2 linked regions of the Astyanax mexicanus genome follow. The protein of the gene in region 1 purifies or fractionates together with the protein of each later gene. This does not show direct contact. Links are inferred from orthologs where the notes say so. Each region holds a gene or a part of one and is shown in the gene's direction. Other genes may lie near its edges.

Region 1 (7,485 bases):
TAAAGACATACGTTACACAAGAGACACAAGACAATAGTGATGGGAGAGAATGACAGTACCAGTATAAATAGAACCTGTATGAACATTATTTATTCACTATATAAACAACCATTTTTTCTCTCTCACAAATGGATTATTACTAGGGCGGTCAACATTAAAGCGTTAACTTGGAATCAGTAACGCGTTACTATTTTTTTAAGGCAAGTTAATAAAGGCACCAAGTTTGACCCCTACTTCTGCTGTAATCTGCCCCGCCCCCGCCCAACGCACTGATTAGTTTTCTGGCTAAATGATTGAAAGGCGTGCTCTTACGGTGTCCAGCAGTAACACTCCAGTTCAGACTTCCAGCTCCGACCCGGTTAGAGATCTCTCTCTTTCTCTCTCTGCACACACACACATGAACACACACACAGACAGGTGCTTTCCTGCCCTCCTGCTCCTCATCCCTTAGATTTTTATCCTCATCAAATTAGAAGCATCAAGTTAGAACTCAGAAATCCTCACAACCAATTTTAGAATCCAATTTATCATGCATTCTTTATTCCAGCACCCTACGTTGATTTTAATCCCCCCTCAAACATACAAGTATATACTATTATTTTAATTGACACCACTAATATACAGTAATTGCGTTTTATTTACATTTAATTATCCACTATAAAAATGTACGTCTGAAGAAAAACAAATGTGATTATTCGTATTTAATCACAGAATTTTGTTGTGATTAATCAGATTCAATTTCTTAATCGATTGACACCCTTAATTATTACTACACTCATTCAGATACTGTCTGAAACACTCACCAACTTCACAAGCTTCCCCACCAGGGAGCGCTGTAAACCCTCAGAATGCTGCTTCACCTCAGTCACACTGGACCTCTTGTTATTTCTCATTCTAGGACGGGACTTCTCCCATGATGAGACACTGGATGTCCCAACCCAAGTGGAGCTGCTGATCAAGCAAGCCACATCACACGAGAACCTGTGCCAATGTTACATTGGATGGTATGTAGTTGTCCATCCTCAAAAACACGTTTTAGAAGGACATTTGTCCAATTTAACCTGAGTAAATGATGTATGTAATTATGTACTTATGTACTATTTATATGGGTCACTCAGTGATTAATAATGAATTAATTTTATCAATAATAATTGTTTCTTCTTTTTTCTTTCCTCAGGTGTCCGTTTTGGTAGAGCTTCACTCAAGCTTTGTTTTGCTGTCTTTGTTCTTTGCTGATTCTCTATGTTCTACCGCTGCCATGTTTGAGTCCGCTGAATACGCTTAAGAAAAGAGATCTGTTGCATGAAAAGACATTTTAAAGTATGTCTGACTTTTATTAATTTAATAATGTTATACATAGAATTCTGCACAAAGTGGAGCAGAATACTTGATTGAAGGTGGTGTACATCTTTGCCAATAAATTTTAGAAAAGCCTGTTTTTGTTGCTTTTTTGAACACCTCTTGTGATGAATGTTGTTTTGCCTTGTATGTGACTGTAAGTAACTGTGTGCTTATAATATCCTGATGTGAGTTTTCTGGGGTGTCATATTTCTGTTATGAGTGGATTTCAAAAGAGTTTGAGCTCTTTATGTGTCCATTGTTTGATTTCATGTATGCAGTAATTTCTTCAACTTGGAACTGGTGGGTCTCTTTACATTGTGCAGCACAGGATAGAATTATTGTACGTGGGAGCAGGTCTACATATGCATGCACAAAAATCCTGTGAATTAAAAAATAGTCCATGTAAAATCATATAAATAACATAATAATAACCATGCATTAATAAAATAAGTGAAAAAGTGTAAATAACCAGTCAGAGAAAAAAAGTAACCAGTCACATGAATAACAAAGGAATTAGGCATCATCAGACTTTCTATATTTAAAAGACATGTTGTATCTATTTTTACACAAGTTAGAATTTATGTGAAGTGTATGTGCTATACAAAACGTGTTTGTTAGTGTTACATTGTGCTAATCTAAACGGCAAAACATGAGCAAGCTAGTTCATGCTTAACTTTGATATGAGCACAAAACTCATTATTTGAAAGTGCTTACATCTCCCTCCTCAGGTGACTGGTCACAGACAGCAGGAACAGATCCCTCCCTCAGTCGAAGTCTACTGACTAATCCTATTGTCTGAGTTTCTCAACCAAAATAAAAAAGAAATGGAGTTTCATATGGAGTGTTTATATGGGTAGTCAAGACTTAAGTGGAAATGCTTAAGCATGCAAAAAGTGAGTTTTGCATAGTATGTCCCTTTTAAATGTTTATCAAGAATAAAAGGAGTCTAACAATACATTTAAAGTGAACAGATGCCCACTACCCATATTAATTTAAAAGAAAATTGGTTATTTGTGAAGTAAGTTTTACTGCTGGTTGGACCATGATATAATTTTTAAATAATGAATGCAAATGGAAACTTTGTTGCCATGCTCTTTTAAAAAAGTAAATATCCTTAAAAGGTCACCTGAAAGTTCTTCATATCTTTCCAAAGAAAAATCCATTGAGATCATAGAACTGCCTTCGAAATGATTATTTCCCCAGATGCATCTGTACACTTTTCAGCATAATGACAAGCTGTACCCATTACAAAGGCTTGGCTGCAAAAGAAGAGGGTACAGTTATAAGACTGTTCTTCCTGCAGTCCTGAGCTGTTCCCACTAATGCGCAGACATTTTTAAATAAACAAAGTAACACTTCAAAATCGCTCAGTATTTTTGGTGCCAACTTTTATTTTAAGCGTTGTAAAAAGGAATTGTAATATATATATATATATATATATATATATATATATATATATATATATATATATACACACACAGCTGAGGTGGAAGAATCTGTCGACGGGACAACTGTAAGTCGTGCACTCCACAAATCTGGCCTTTATTGAAGAGTGGCAAGAAGAAAGCCACTGCTGAAAGAAAGACATAAAAAGTGCTGTCTAAACAGCAAACGTGTGGAAGAAGGTTCTGTTGTCAGGTGAGACAAAAGTTCAACTTTTTTGGCCTAAATATAAAGTGATTTGTGTGGCAGAAAAGTAACACTGCTCATCATTCTGAACACACCATCCCCAAAGTGAAACGTGGTGGCAGCATCAGCTGGGGCTAAATACAGGGCAGTCCTGGAAGAAAACCTGGAGGAGGCTGTAAAAGATTTGAGGCTGGGAAGAAGATTCAAGATAGTGATTCTAAACATACAGCCATAGCTCCATTGGAATATTTAAATGAAAGAATATTGATGTGTTGGAATAAGCCAGTTAAAGTCCTCACCTTAATACCACTGAGCTTCTGTGGCAAGACATGAAAATTGCTGTTCACAGACGCTCTCCATCCAACCTGGCTGGCTAGTATTCACCTGGCCGCAAGACAGACAACAGTTAGAAATGTTTTAAAATAAAGATTTTTTTTAAAAACTAATAACAGTCTTTGCAATGTCATATGCTACTTTACAACATGTGTAATTCTCTGCTAAGTGCAGATTAGCCACTGACCTAGTCTTAGAATCTCTGTATAACGGGAAATCCACCGGAGATCCTATGTAAATCCTATATTTACACACAGAGATGGGTAGTTCAGGTCCAGAAAGTAAAACAATTTTTTAATTTTTATTTTAACTAGTTTACATAACTGTTTTAAACATACACCTAGCTATCTCAATTGTACTTCGCTGGTGGTGTTCTATAGACAAATTCTAACCATTTGTTCCTTGGCTCTGAATTACTGGGTAAAGCATATAACACTGATGTGTTATTTGCACAAATAACACAGGAACAAACTGCCATGCTGTTCCTAGCACTGTTAGCTCCTATTTGATAAGACTGCATTGCTGCCTAGCATCAGCACTACCTGTGGGAGGTCGTGAGCCAAGGTGGGCAAGGCCATGAATACCAATTCACTGATTGATGTAGACACGGTACTTTTCCTGATCAACTTGTTTTTCTGAATATTTTCTTTTACTAGCTACTGCAGACAATGGAGGTTGAGGAAGAGTTTCATGTGCAGCATCATATACAACTCAGAGAGACCTACAGTATTGCACAAAGAACAAGAAATGTGGATTTTAGCAGAAGAACACCATTAAATTCTAAATGACTTAATTCATTTATTGCTGAGATATATAATAGAAACCCTCAGCCATACATGAAGATACATAGAAAATGAAAGTGGGTCATTTTTGTCCCATTTGTAAAATGAAATTAAAATACTGAACTATTTTCTAAAAGAGGGTTTATAGTTAATGCTTCTAAAGCTTCATGTTGGCCACTGCTGATCATTTTAATAATTGATGTGTCGATTCTTTTTTTTTATATCTATCGATTATTAATCGGAGAAAAAAAGAAAAACATATAAAATATGTGTAGTGTTTTAACTAATCAAGGGTCAGGGGAGCAGCGCGGTGCGGTTCAGCAGGTGGCGGTAGAGAGCGCGCGGTCTCTCTGAGACTCCCGAGAAGAAGACGGGTCTCTGCGCGTGCTCCGCTCCGCGCTGCTCTCGCGGGGTGTACTGGGTAGTGATGGCTGCGCCCGTGAGCGGAGAGAGCGGCTCTGGAGCCCGCGGTGACTCCGGCAGCGGAGCCCCGGGGGCGGAGAGCGGGGAGTTCTGCCCGGGGTTTAGAGATGTGGACGCGTTTGTGAAGGTGAGTAAGGCGCTCCGGTCCCCGGGGTTAACGAGCAGAGCCGCGGGTCTCCGCGCTGTGAGATAAACACGCAGCGGCAGCGTGGAGCTCCTCCTGCAGCAGCAGCAACGCTGGACTCGTGGTTCTGTTTTCATTAGCCGGTTAGCTTAGCGCTGTTAAATCTCTGACGGGTTAGCGGCTCCTGTTCTCTAATGAACTCTAACGGTGTTTTACAGCACGGACTGGGCACGGTGGTCTCCGCCACCAAGGCGGCCGGGGGTCTCCCTCAGCCCGGAGACGAGTTCGACTTCTACAGGAGTTTTCCTGGGTTTCAGGATTTCTGTGCTGTTCAGGGAGAGCGACTCTTACACTGGTGAGAGAGAGAAGACGGGCTTTAAACACTTAAATACATGTATTTATTTAATCTTACGTTACTGTCAATATTGTTATTGCTGATTCTGACTTAAAGCCATAGTATTGACTCAAGCTATAGACTGTATTACAAACCAAAAATCACATATAGCACTGTTTTATACTAGTAAACGCTCTCGTTTCTGCTCTTAGCTATGAAAAAAAAAAACTTTACTATTAGTAACATCAGATCTAACTGCAGGTCTGTAAACACATTCTGACTAGTCATATTACAAATAAAACAACATGTCCTTATCTATAATTACATTTTAGAAGTTAAAAAACTGTAGTCCCAAATACAGCTCTAGATAAAAAATTTGGATACATCAACTCATGAAGTTTCTAAGTGACATATAGTGAACATCCTGAAAGCATCACTACAAGACAGTGTGTGAATCTGTGTTTATTCGTTCATCTCACATTATTTACACAAAGTAGAAGTGCTGGAGATAAAATTGCTGGCGATATCCTTTTAAAGGAGTTTGTGTATTTTCTGCGTTTACAGGTCTGTTCCAAACATTTCAACGATTTTAAACGCTATAATTAAATGTTTTACATTCCATATAACTGGTTCTGACCTGATTTCTAGAACAGAATGTTAATAATAGTAGTTAATAATAGATTCAATTTTGAAAGTGAAAATGTCAATACTTAAAACAGCAGAATGTCATACAGTTCACTTTCTGCAGTACTATTAACATGATACTGATTATTTAATTATTTGAACACTATTTCTGTTTAATTCTAGGACTTAGACTTTAGGATTGTTGTTTTTACAGATAAAATATGTATGGCCTCTTGGTTAAATAGGAGGAAATGTAATAAAAGTAAAGCATGCCGTTCTAGGCACATATTTCTGAACTTGTAAAAACTCTCATATAATTGTATTGCACCAAATGGTTCTAAATACACTGCATGGTGCCTAAGACACAGTTTCATCACAGTGCTGAGAGCATTTTGGCTCTAAAACCTGTTTTTGAAATCAAATATCATTAAACAAATGTAACAGATATGTGCAAAATTTTCTGTGACAAATAATAATAGTCCCCAGTGACAAGGTATTGGTTCAGGCCTGTTCTCACACATTCAGATATTTTTAAAAACAGTGAAACCTGCAGTGCTATAAGCACACATTTCTTGATGAGAGCAGTTTACCTTTACTGGTTGGAGAGTCTGTTTGTGTTGTTTTGGTCTGTCAACTGAAATGTAAAAAATAAAAAGATCTGTGGGTTTTAAAGCCTAGTTTCAGAAGTGTTCACAGATGTAATCATTTGTGCTATACATACGGTAATATCCCTAATATCCAGCTAACACTACAAGGCTGGATGCAGCAGGAATGGCATTTCAGCTAGTTTTAGTTTATCACCATATTTATCATTGTTGTTATTCACTAATGATAATTAATCCAAAGAAGTGTCACTGGTAACCTCGCTCAGCTTGTCTGGGATGATATTTTCAATAAGTACACCAGTATAGGCTGTATAAACCAGATTTTCATTTTTAATAGACCATAAAAGACCACCACTAATGTGGGCATTGCATGGTTGGACCTTAGGTTACAGGGGGACATGTGTTCGGAGTGGGTTTGTACATATGTTTTCTGGGACCCATTTGGGCTTCAAAAATAGGCCCTATTCTTACATCCTATTTTAACCTCACATTGGTCCCATCTAGGATTTACGTGCAGTGTTATATCCAAATGGGGCCCAACTTTAACCCCTCCTGGTCCCATCACTGTCCCTGGTGGGGCTCATTACTGACCGACATAGAACCCATGGACAAAATCTTTTGGTTCCCTTACAGGCACCACATGGTCATGTTATCTCAGCAGTTACAAGGTTGAATTTTTACAAGGTAAACACAGTCTGGGCCGGTAATGGCAGCCTTCTGACGGAGGTTCCTGAACCTGAATTGTCCCAGTCAGCCTACTGATCGATCGGTAGACAATACAGTCAGTGGTATAAATCTAATATTATATGGGGTCTTCAACCTAAATATTCGTGCATGTGTGCATCTCTTTTACATGATTTTCAGTTGCTTTGATGTCTCATTTTGTTTTATAATGTTCTGCATTGTTCAGTATGAGTCAGCTGATGAAGCACCACGGCTGCAGATCACACATAAATGACAAAAACAAATTGACGGGACTGGAGGAGCGCTTTGATCTGGTCGTTGAGTCCAATGATGTCATCCTGGAGAAAGTGGTAGGAATGAATGCCCAATTTCTAAACTACATGTTTTAATTTAACACGTGTACACGGTTTACATGTGCCAGCTAGAGCTGGACGTTATAAACCATGATAAATTTTATCGTATCGATAAAGTGAACCAAGTGACCAAAAGTGACCAAGTGAACATTTAATTACAGGGAGTTTAGAAAATCCTGTTTAATTGCATGATGCGCTACATTAAAGTAATTGAAATGCAGTTTTAAGAATATATCACTGCTCACACTGCTGC
Region 2 (7,437 bases), on another chromosome or scaffold:
TTTCCTGCTTTAGGGCTTTTTCACACCAGAATTATAACGACTTGATCGTATCTCAAAATAACAAACTTACTCTCAAAATAATTATTTACTATATTAAAATAACAACTTACTATCTCATAATAATGACTTACTATCTCAAATAAATTACCTACTATCTTAAGACAAAGAGATAGTATCTCAAAATAACAAATTTACTATGTTAAAATATAAACCTACTGTTTAAAAATAACTTGCTATCTCAAAATAACGACGTACTTTCTTAAAATAATGAGAAAGTATCTAAAAATAACTCTCAAAATGACGTACTATCTCAAAATAATTACCTACTATCTCAAAATAACGAGACATTATCTCAAAATAACGACTTAATATCCTAAAATAATGACTTACTATATCTCAAAATAATTATTTACTATGCCTTACTTACTATCCCAAAATAATTATTTATTTCAAAATAATGATTTATCTCAAAATAATGACTTACTGTCTCAAAATGACTTACTATATTACTATATACAGGTGCTGGTCAACGAATTAGAATAATTTGAAATAGTGCAATCATGAAATTCTTTGAATGCATTTTTTGTGCAGAAAGCAAATCAGGTGTTCACTGCACCTGTCCTACTCGCTAGACTAATCACAGAACTCGTTACCTGGAAAAAAATTTGCTCAGCTGAGCTTTCCAAAAGGCCCATTTAGGCCATTTAACTGTGACACTGTTGTTTTATTGAATTAGAATAATGGAGAAACCGTTTCATTGAATTAGAATAATTTTTATTATAATTACAATCATCACTTTCTCAGTATTTTGTGGCTGCCCCCTTGGCTTGTATGACTGCCTGAAGTCTCCGCGGCATCGATTTGACCAGCTTGTCGCAAGTTTCCGCACTCACAGCTTCCCAGGCAGTGGCGATGTTCTGCTTCAGTTGGTCCAGCGTAGTAGGCTTTCTGTCGCGAATTTTCCGCTTGACGATGGCCCAAAGGTTTTCAATGACATTGAGGTCAGGCGAGTTGGCCGGCCATGCCAAAACTTCAAGCTGTTTTTTAGTGAACCAATCTTTGGTCGACTTTGCCGCATGAGCCGGTGCAAGATCCTGTTGAAATATGAAGTCTTCTTCGCCGAACTGTTCCTCAACAGTCGGAATCAGGAACGTTTCCAGAACATCTTGATATACGGCAGCATTGACAGTCTTCTTGAGGAAGCAGAGTTTCCCTACACCTCGAGCGGACATGCATCCCCAGACCATAACGCTCTGGGGAAACTTGACGGATCTTTTCACGCACTCGTGGTTGTAGGTTTTGCCACCACGACGCCAGACACGAGGACCTTGGTCACCGAAGGAGATGCAGAAGCGTGATTCGTCACTGAAGACCACTTTCTGCCAGTCTTCAGCAGTCCACTCGCCGTGTTCTTTGGCCCACTTCAGCTGTTTCTCCATTTGTTTCTTGTTCAGCATCGGTTTTACTGCTGGAACGCGAGATTTGAAGCCGAGTTCGCGCAGACGACGGTAAGTGGTTGATCTGGAGACGTCAGCGCCGGTCTGCTTGTTCCACAAGTCGGTGAGCTCGGAAGTGGACTTGAACCGGTTGCTGACTGCGATCTTTCTCAGCTGCTTGTTGTCGAGAGCAGAAGTTTTTCGGACGCCGGAACAGTTGGTGCGCTTGCTGCAGTTTTTCTTGAGAGCTTTGCAGACGGAAGACTGGCTGATGCCGAGCTGCTCAGCAATTTTAGTTTGGGTCAAGCCTTGTTGGCGAAGGGCTTGAATTTGAGCCACTATTCCGGTTGAGAGGTCGCGCTGCTTACCCATGATTGATTTTACAACTTAGAAATTCTACTCAACCCTGACTTTATACTGCACAGTGAACACTCTTCACAGAAAACAAAAATTCGAGCATTTATTCTAATTCAATGAAACGGTTTCTCCATTATTCTAATTCAATAAAACAACAGTGTCACAGTTAAATGGCCTAAATGGGCCTTTTGGAAAGCTCAGCTGAGCAATTTTTTTTCCAGGTAACGAGTTCTGTGATTAGTCTAACGAGTAGGACAGGTGCGGTGAACACCTGATTTGCTTTCTGCACAAAAAATGCATTCAAAGAATTTCATGATTGCACTATTTCAAATTATTCTAATTCGTTGACCAGCACCTGTATACCATATATATATAGTATACCAAAAAATACTTACTCTCAAAATAATAACTAACAATTTAAAAATAATAATATAGAAGTTAGACAGAAAAAAAAATCAAATAATATATATATATATATATATATATATATATATGTATATATATATACATATATATATATATATATATATATATATATACATATATATATATATATATATATATATATATGTATATATATATATACATATATATATACATATATATCCCGCCTTGAAGCGTGTTATATTCCACACCCCCGGAGCGGACCAATCAGAGCGAAGGAAACGGCGCAGCGCCGTGAAGGTTATGCGCATGCGCGGTGGCTAGGTTCTCGCAGCCAAAACAAATAGACCGGTTTCAGTAAAAAAATATATAATATAATATAATAACTTCATATTAACCTCAAAATCAGCAGCATAAACCAGTTATTAATAACTAAACTTATTAACAACAGCTGAATATGCGGTTTATTAACGCTTCACACAACCATACACACTATTAAATATATAAGTTACATTAAAACATATATATTAAATATTAAAATAAAGTTATATAGAACCACAGCGTTACAGAGTCTGTGGACAGCTGTATTTATCTATCTATACTGTAGCTTATATGCTTGTATTATATGTGTGTTTTAAACAATATAAGCCAGTGTTGTTTTTTTAGTCCAGGTGAGCAGCTGGTTTACCTGTATCAGATTCACCTGTATAATAATATTGCATCTGATAATAACCCCTCACGTGCTGCTATATATCTTTATTACAGTATAAAGCTCTAGCTGAGGGTTATATATTAAATATATATCTGCAGGTGGGCATTACATGCTACTGTTTAAGCTGCAGCTCAGATCAGACCCACAGGAACACCTGTACAGGTGAGCAGCGCGCGCTGTGCGGGTGAGCAGGTGAGGTTACCTGGGTGCGGAAGGCTCTCCGCTGCAGGGCTCTGACCGAGTTTAATGCTGAATTTTGGCGAAACGCGTGAAAACCGAGTCCGACCCATTTCTGCAGCCTCCGCACCGCCGCCATGTTTCAGCCTTACTGTCCTCCCGCACCGCGCTCACAGCGCCTCCTGCTGCAGCGGCGGAGACACCGCACTGTATATACACTATGAATATAACTGAGAAATTACTGATTATATATACACACAATTACAAAATCAGCATTTTAATACAACTAATATTTCACTTTCAATATTTCTTCACATCTCTTATAAATTCATTAATTCCCTAAGAAATAACACACTTAAAAAACAACAAAAAAGAATATATATATAGTAAATTATGTAGCTAAATTAAAAAAAGATAAAATTGCTAATTAATAATTAAAATGAGAAAACAATATTGTTTATGATAATAATGTAACTAATGTTTCATTTATTAATAATAATAATAATAATAATAATAATAATAATAATAATAATCATCATCATCATAATCATAATAATAATCATAATCATAATCATAATAATTGTTATTATTATTATTGTTATTATTATTATTATTAATTATTATAATTAAAAAACAACAACAAAATGCAAGAAAAATGTGTAATAGCGGAAGCATGTAAAAAGTTATATGTGACGGTGTATAAATAACTAAACAGTTTCTATTAAAACTTTTATTATTAAACTATTATTATTATTATTATTATTATTATTATTATTTATTTATTTATAATAAAGGTTAAAGCTGCAAATAAAAAAATGACATCAGCATATAATAAAATAAATTAGGAAACATGGGAAAACCAAATACAAGAAAAATGTATAACAGAGGAAGCATGTACATAAGATTGTAAAAAAAACGGTGTCCTTTAATTAAATTAAGAATTATTTTAAATTACTTTATTAATAAAATATAAATAGCATGGTTAAATAATGAATAAATGACCGCCTTCTGTTTTATTTAACTTACATTTATATATTTGTTCCTTGGAAAAATACTATATTAGAGTATTATAGTATTTTTAAGAAAATAATTCAATTACAAAACACTATTGCAAATCAAATCAATCCTCTTTCTTATTTAAACGAAAATTCGTTGTAAATAAAATGCCTAATAAAATACAGAATATTTTAGCTTAACTAGTGTAAACTGATTTACTGTTTTTACCGGTAGATTAAGGACTTTTATCTTATTAAAGCGTCATCAGAGTGCGCGGTAAACAGTGACGCTGTGAGCGGGCGACGGGCCGGCGTGCTGCAGTATCGCGGGGTGCAGGGTTCGGCAGTGATGGATCAGATAGAGACGGGTTCGGGTTCGGTTCTGAGGGAATACGGGAGCGAACAGAACCTGCTGTCCAAACCGGACGGATCAGCGACCTTCCTACAGGGTATTTATCTATATACTGTCTCTGTTCTATTGGGTTCTATGGGGTTCTAAATGGGTTCCTCTGGGTTGTGCACTTGTTTACAAGACTCTATATTGACTATATAGGGCTCCACAGAACTCTACCCTGTTCTGTAGGTATCTACAGAGTTTCTATATGGCTATATAGGGTTATATAGTGCTCCAAAGGACTCTAGTGTTCTATAGGCCTGCACATGACTCTACAGTGTTCTGCACGATTTCTATAGGGCACTGCCGAGCTCTACGAGTTCTATAGGGTCCACATGACAATATATCAATTAGTCATTTAGGCAATCAACCGTTATTTTCACTCAGAAGTACATTAAGGGCAACCCTCATTTTCAATGTAGCATTCACAAATACAGGGATTAACATGATGATAAATTAAATAATAACTACATTTAATAATCTTAAAATAACAGTTAATAAAAGAGAGGGTTTCTGTAGGGCACTACAGAGCTCTATAGGGTTTCTATAGGCCTCCACAGGACTCTACAGTGTTTTGAACGTCTCTACAGAACTTGGGTCTATATGGCACTGCAGAGTTCTATATTGGTTAAATACGGCTCTACAAAGCTCTATATGGTTTTTATAGACAACCACAGAGCTCTACAGGGGTTCCATATGAATCTACAGGGTTTCTATAGGGCACTACAAAGCTCTATTTGGTTTCTATAGGGCACTACAGAACTCTACAGGGCATCCATAGGGATTTAGAAGGTTTCTATTGGACATTACAGAACTCTATAAGGGGCTCTACTCTGCAGGTTTCTGGAGGATTTTTCTGGGTTCTGTATTGATCTTGTGTTTGTGTGTGTGTGTGTGTGTGTGTTTCTGTAATGGTATATGTGTTTACAGGGGACACCAGTGTGTTGGCAGGAGTTTATGGACCTGCTGAAGTGAAAGTGAATAAGGAGATCTATGACAGAGCGACTCTGGAGGTGGTTGTCCAGCCTAAAGTGGGCATGTCAAGTAAGTAGCTCTGTGTTCAGAGATACTAAATAAAAAAATAATTTATTAATTAATAATACACTATATTGCCAAAATGCACAACATAATTGTACTCACAACTAGTTATTTATTTGATGTAAAATGGACCTTCTAAAATGTTCTGTGCATTATATAATATTTAGTCAATGCGCAGAGCCGTCATCATTAAGCATTAAAAAATGGAATAGTTATAATATAATATATAATATAATAAACTTTGCTTGTATATCATCAAAAAAAAACGCAGCTCAAAATGCTTCAATAAAATTAAGTAAAACAGAAAACTGTAAAACGTAAAAAATTTAATAAACAGTTTTTGTCATTTTAGTTCACATTAATATATTGTGCACACTCCTGTTTTGGAATTTTATTGTATAACTAAGTGCAAAACATACCTGATGTCTGAAAAACTGAGCACAATAATGCAGCATGAGTCTACTAGTAGGTTAAAGTAATATTTATTGTTAGAGCCCTATTTAATTAATGTAATTCTCATTACAATACAGTGAACATATTAATTTATTTATAACACTAATCATGCTTTAATATTCCTCTAGATTAAAAGCCTGTTGTTGGTTGCGTTACCCCCTCTCACCACAGGGTGGTAGTCATGTAATAGTGAAAATCTGTGCGTGTGATGAACGTTCACTAATCCGGTTCTGTAACCCGGTTCTGTAGGTGTGCGGGAGCGTGCGAGGGAGCAGTGTGTGAGGGAAACGTGTGAGGCTGTCCTGCTGTCCACTCTTCATCCTCGGTCCTCCCTCGCACTCATCCTCCAGGTGGTGCACGACGACGGCTCTGTATCCTTTATAAATCCACACCTGTTTATAACTAGTAACGAGTCTTTCTCATCTCTGGAGGAATTTAGTTCCACTCTTCTTTACAGAATTACAGTTTTAATTCAGACACATTGGAGGATTTTCCAGCATAAACGTCTAAAACTGTTTAAGATCATCCACAGCATCTCAATCAGACTTTAACTAGACCCTCCTAAACCTTCATTTAGTTTTTATTTATTTTTAATCCATTCAGAGGTGAACTTTTTGTTTGTGTGCTTTGGGTCATTGTCCTGCTGCAGAACCCAAGTACTCCTGAGCTTGAGGTCAGTAAGGAACAGATGGACGGATTCTGATTCTCCTTCAGGATTTTCTGGTAAAAACAGCAGAACTCCTGCTTCCATCTATTACAGCAAGTTAAAGTCCGGCAGCTCCAGACCATCATAACGCACACACTACCACCACCATGTTTTACATTTTACGTTCAGTGAGAGCAATGTTCTTTTATTGCTGAAATTATGTGTTTATTATAGTTTTATGCCAGATGTAACGGGACACACACCTTCCAAAAAGTTCCACTTTTGTCTCTTCAGTCAAAATATAATATTTACCCATAATTTTAAAAAGGAAAAAACAATTTTTCCTAAAGAGCATCATGATGTTAATTGATAAATGTTGTTCTGGGTTCTTTTGGGATCTCATGGATGAGTTGTTCATGCCCTTTTGGAGTAATTTTGTTCGGTCGGCCGGTCACTCCTGGGAAGGTTCACCAGTTTTCCATGTTTTTTCTAGGGGTGTGACGAGATCTCGTCAAGCTTAAACCTGTCTCGCAGGGGGAAAAAAACAGTAGTTTAAAAGCTCCGCGGTACAGTTAAAAAGCTCAGTTAAAAAGCTCAGCTCAGTTTAAAAAAGCTCCGCGGTACAGTTAAAAAGCTCCGCAGTACAGTTAAAAAGCTCAGTTAAAAAGCTCAGCTCAGTTTAAAAAAGCTCCGCGGTACAGTTAAAAAGCTCCGCAGTACAGTTAAAAAGCTCCGCGGTACAGTTTAAAAAGCTCAGTGGTACAGTTTAAAAAGCTCAGTGGTACAGTTTAAAAGCTCCGCGGTACAGGTAAAAAGCTCCGCGGTACAGGTAAAAAGCTCCGCGG

What was found. Proteins that work in one complex are often made in the same cells at the same time.
Region 2: the proteins of exosc10 (region 1) and exosc5 purify together in Homo sapiens (co-immunoprecipitation; 8 studies listed by BioGRID and IntAct, with this or other methods). This does not show direct contact. The link is inferred for Astyanax mexicanus from reciprocal best matches to the Homo sapiens genes EXOSC10 and EXOSC5.

Annotation. Positions count from the first base shown.
Region 1 is NC_064419.1:17,930,495-17,937,979, forward strand, and holds the start of exosc10 (exosome component 10), read left to right. Parts: upstream 1-4,447; 5' UTR 4,448-4,512; coding exon 4,513-4,635; intron 4,636-4,850; coding exon 4,851-4,987; intron 4,988-7,105; coding exon 7,106-7,229; intron 7,230-7,485. Other genes in the region: serine/threonine-protein kinase mTOR, read left to right, coding at 899-1,004, 1,178-1,193. UniProt on the Homo sapiens protein: Catalytic component of the RNA exosome complex which has 3'->5' exoribonuclease activity and participates in a multitude of cellular RNA processing and degradation events.
Region 2 is NC_064416.1:2,328,404-2,335,840, reverse strand, and holds the start of exosc5 (exosome complex component RRP46), read left to right. Parts: upstream 1-4,330; 5' UTR 4,331-4,410; coding exon 4,411-4,510; intron 4,511-5,385; coding exon 5,386-5,499; intron 5,500-6,195; coding exon 6,196-6,317; intron 6,318-7,308; exon of another isoform or gene 7,309-7,437. Other genes in the region: bckdha (2-oxoisovalerate dehydrogenase subunit alpha, mitochondrial), read right to left, coding at 3,092-3,205. UniProt on the Homo sapiens protein: Non-catalytic component of the RNA exosome complex which has 3'->5' exoribonuclease activity and participates in a multitude of cellular RNA processing and degradation events.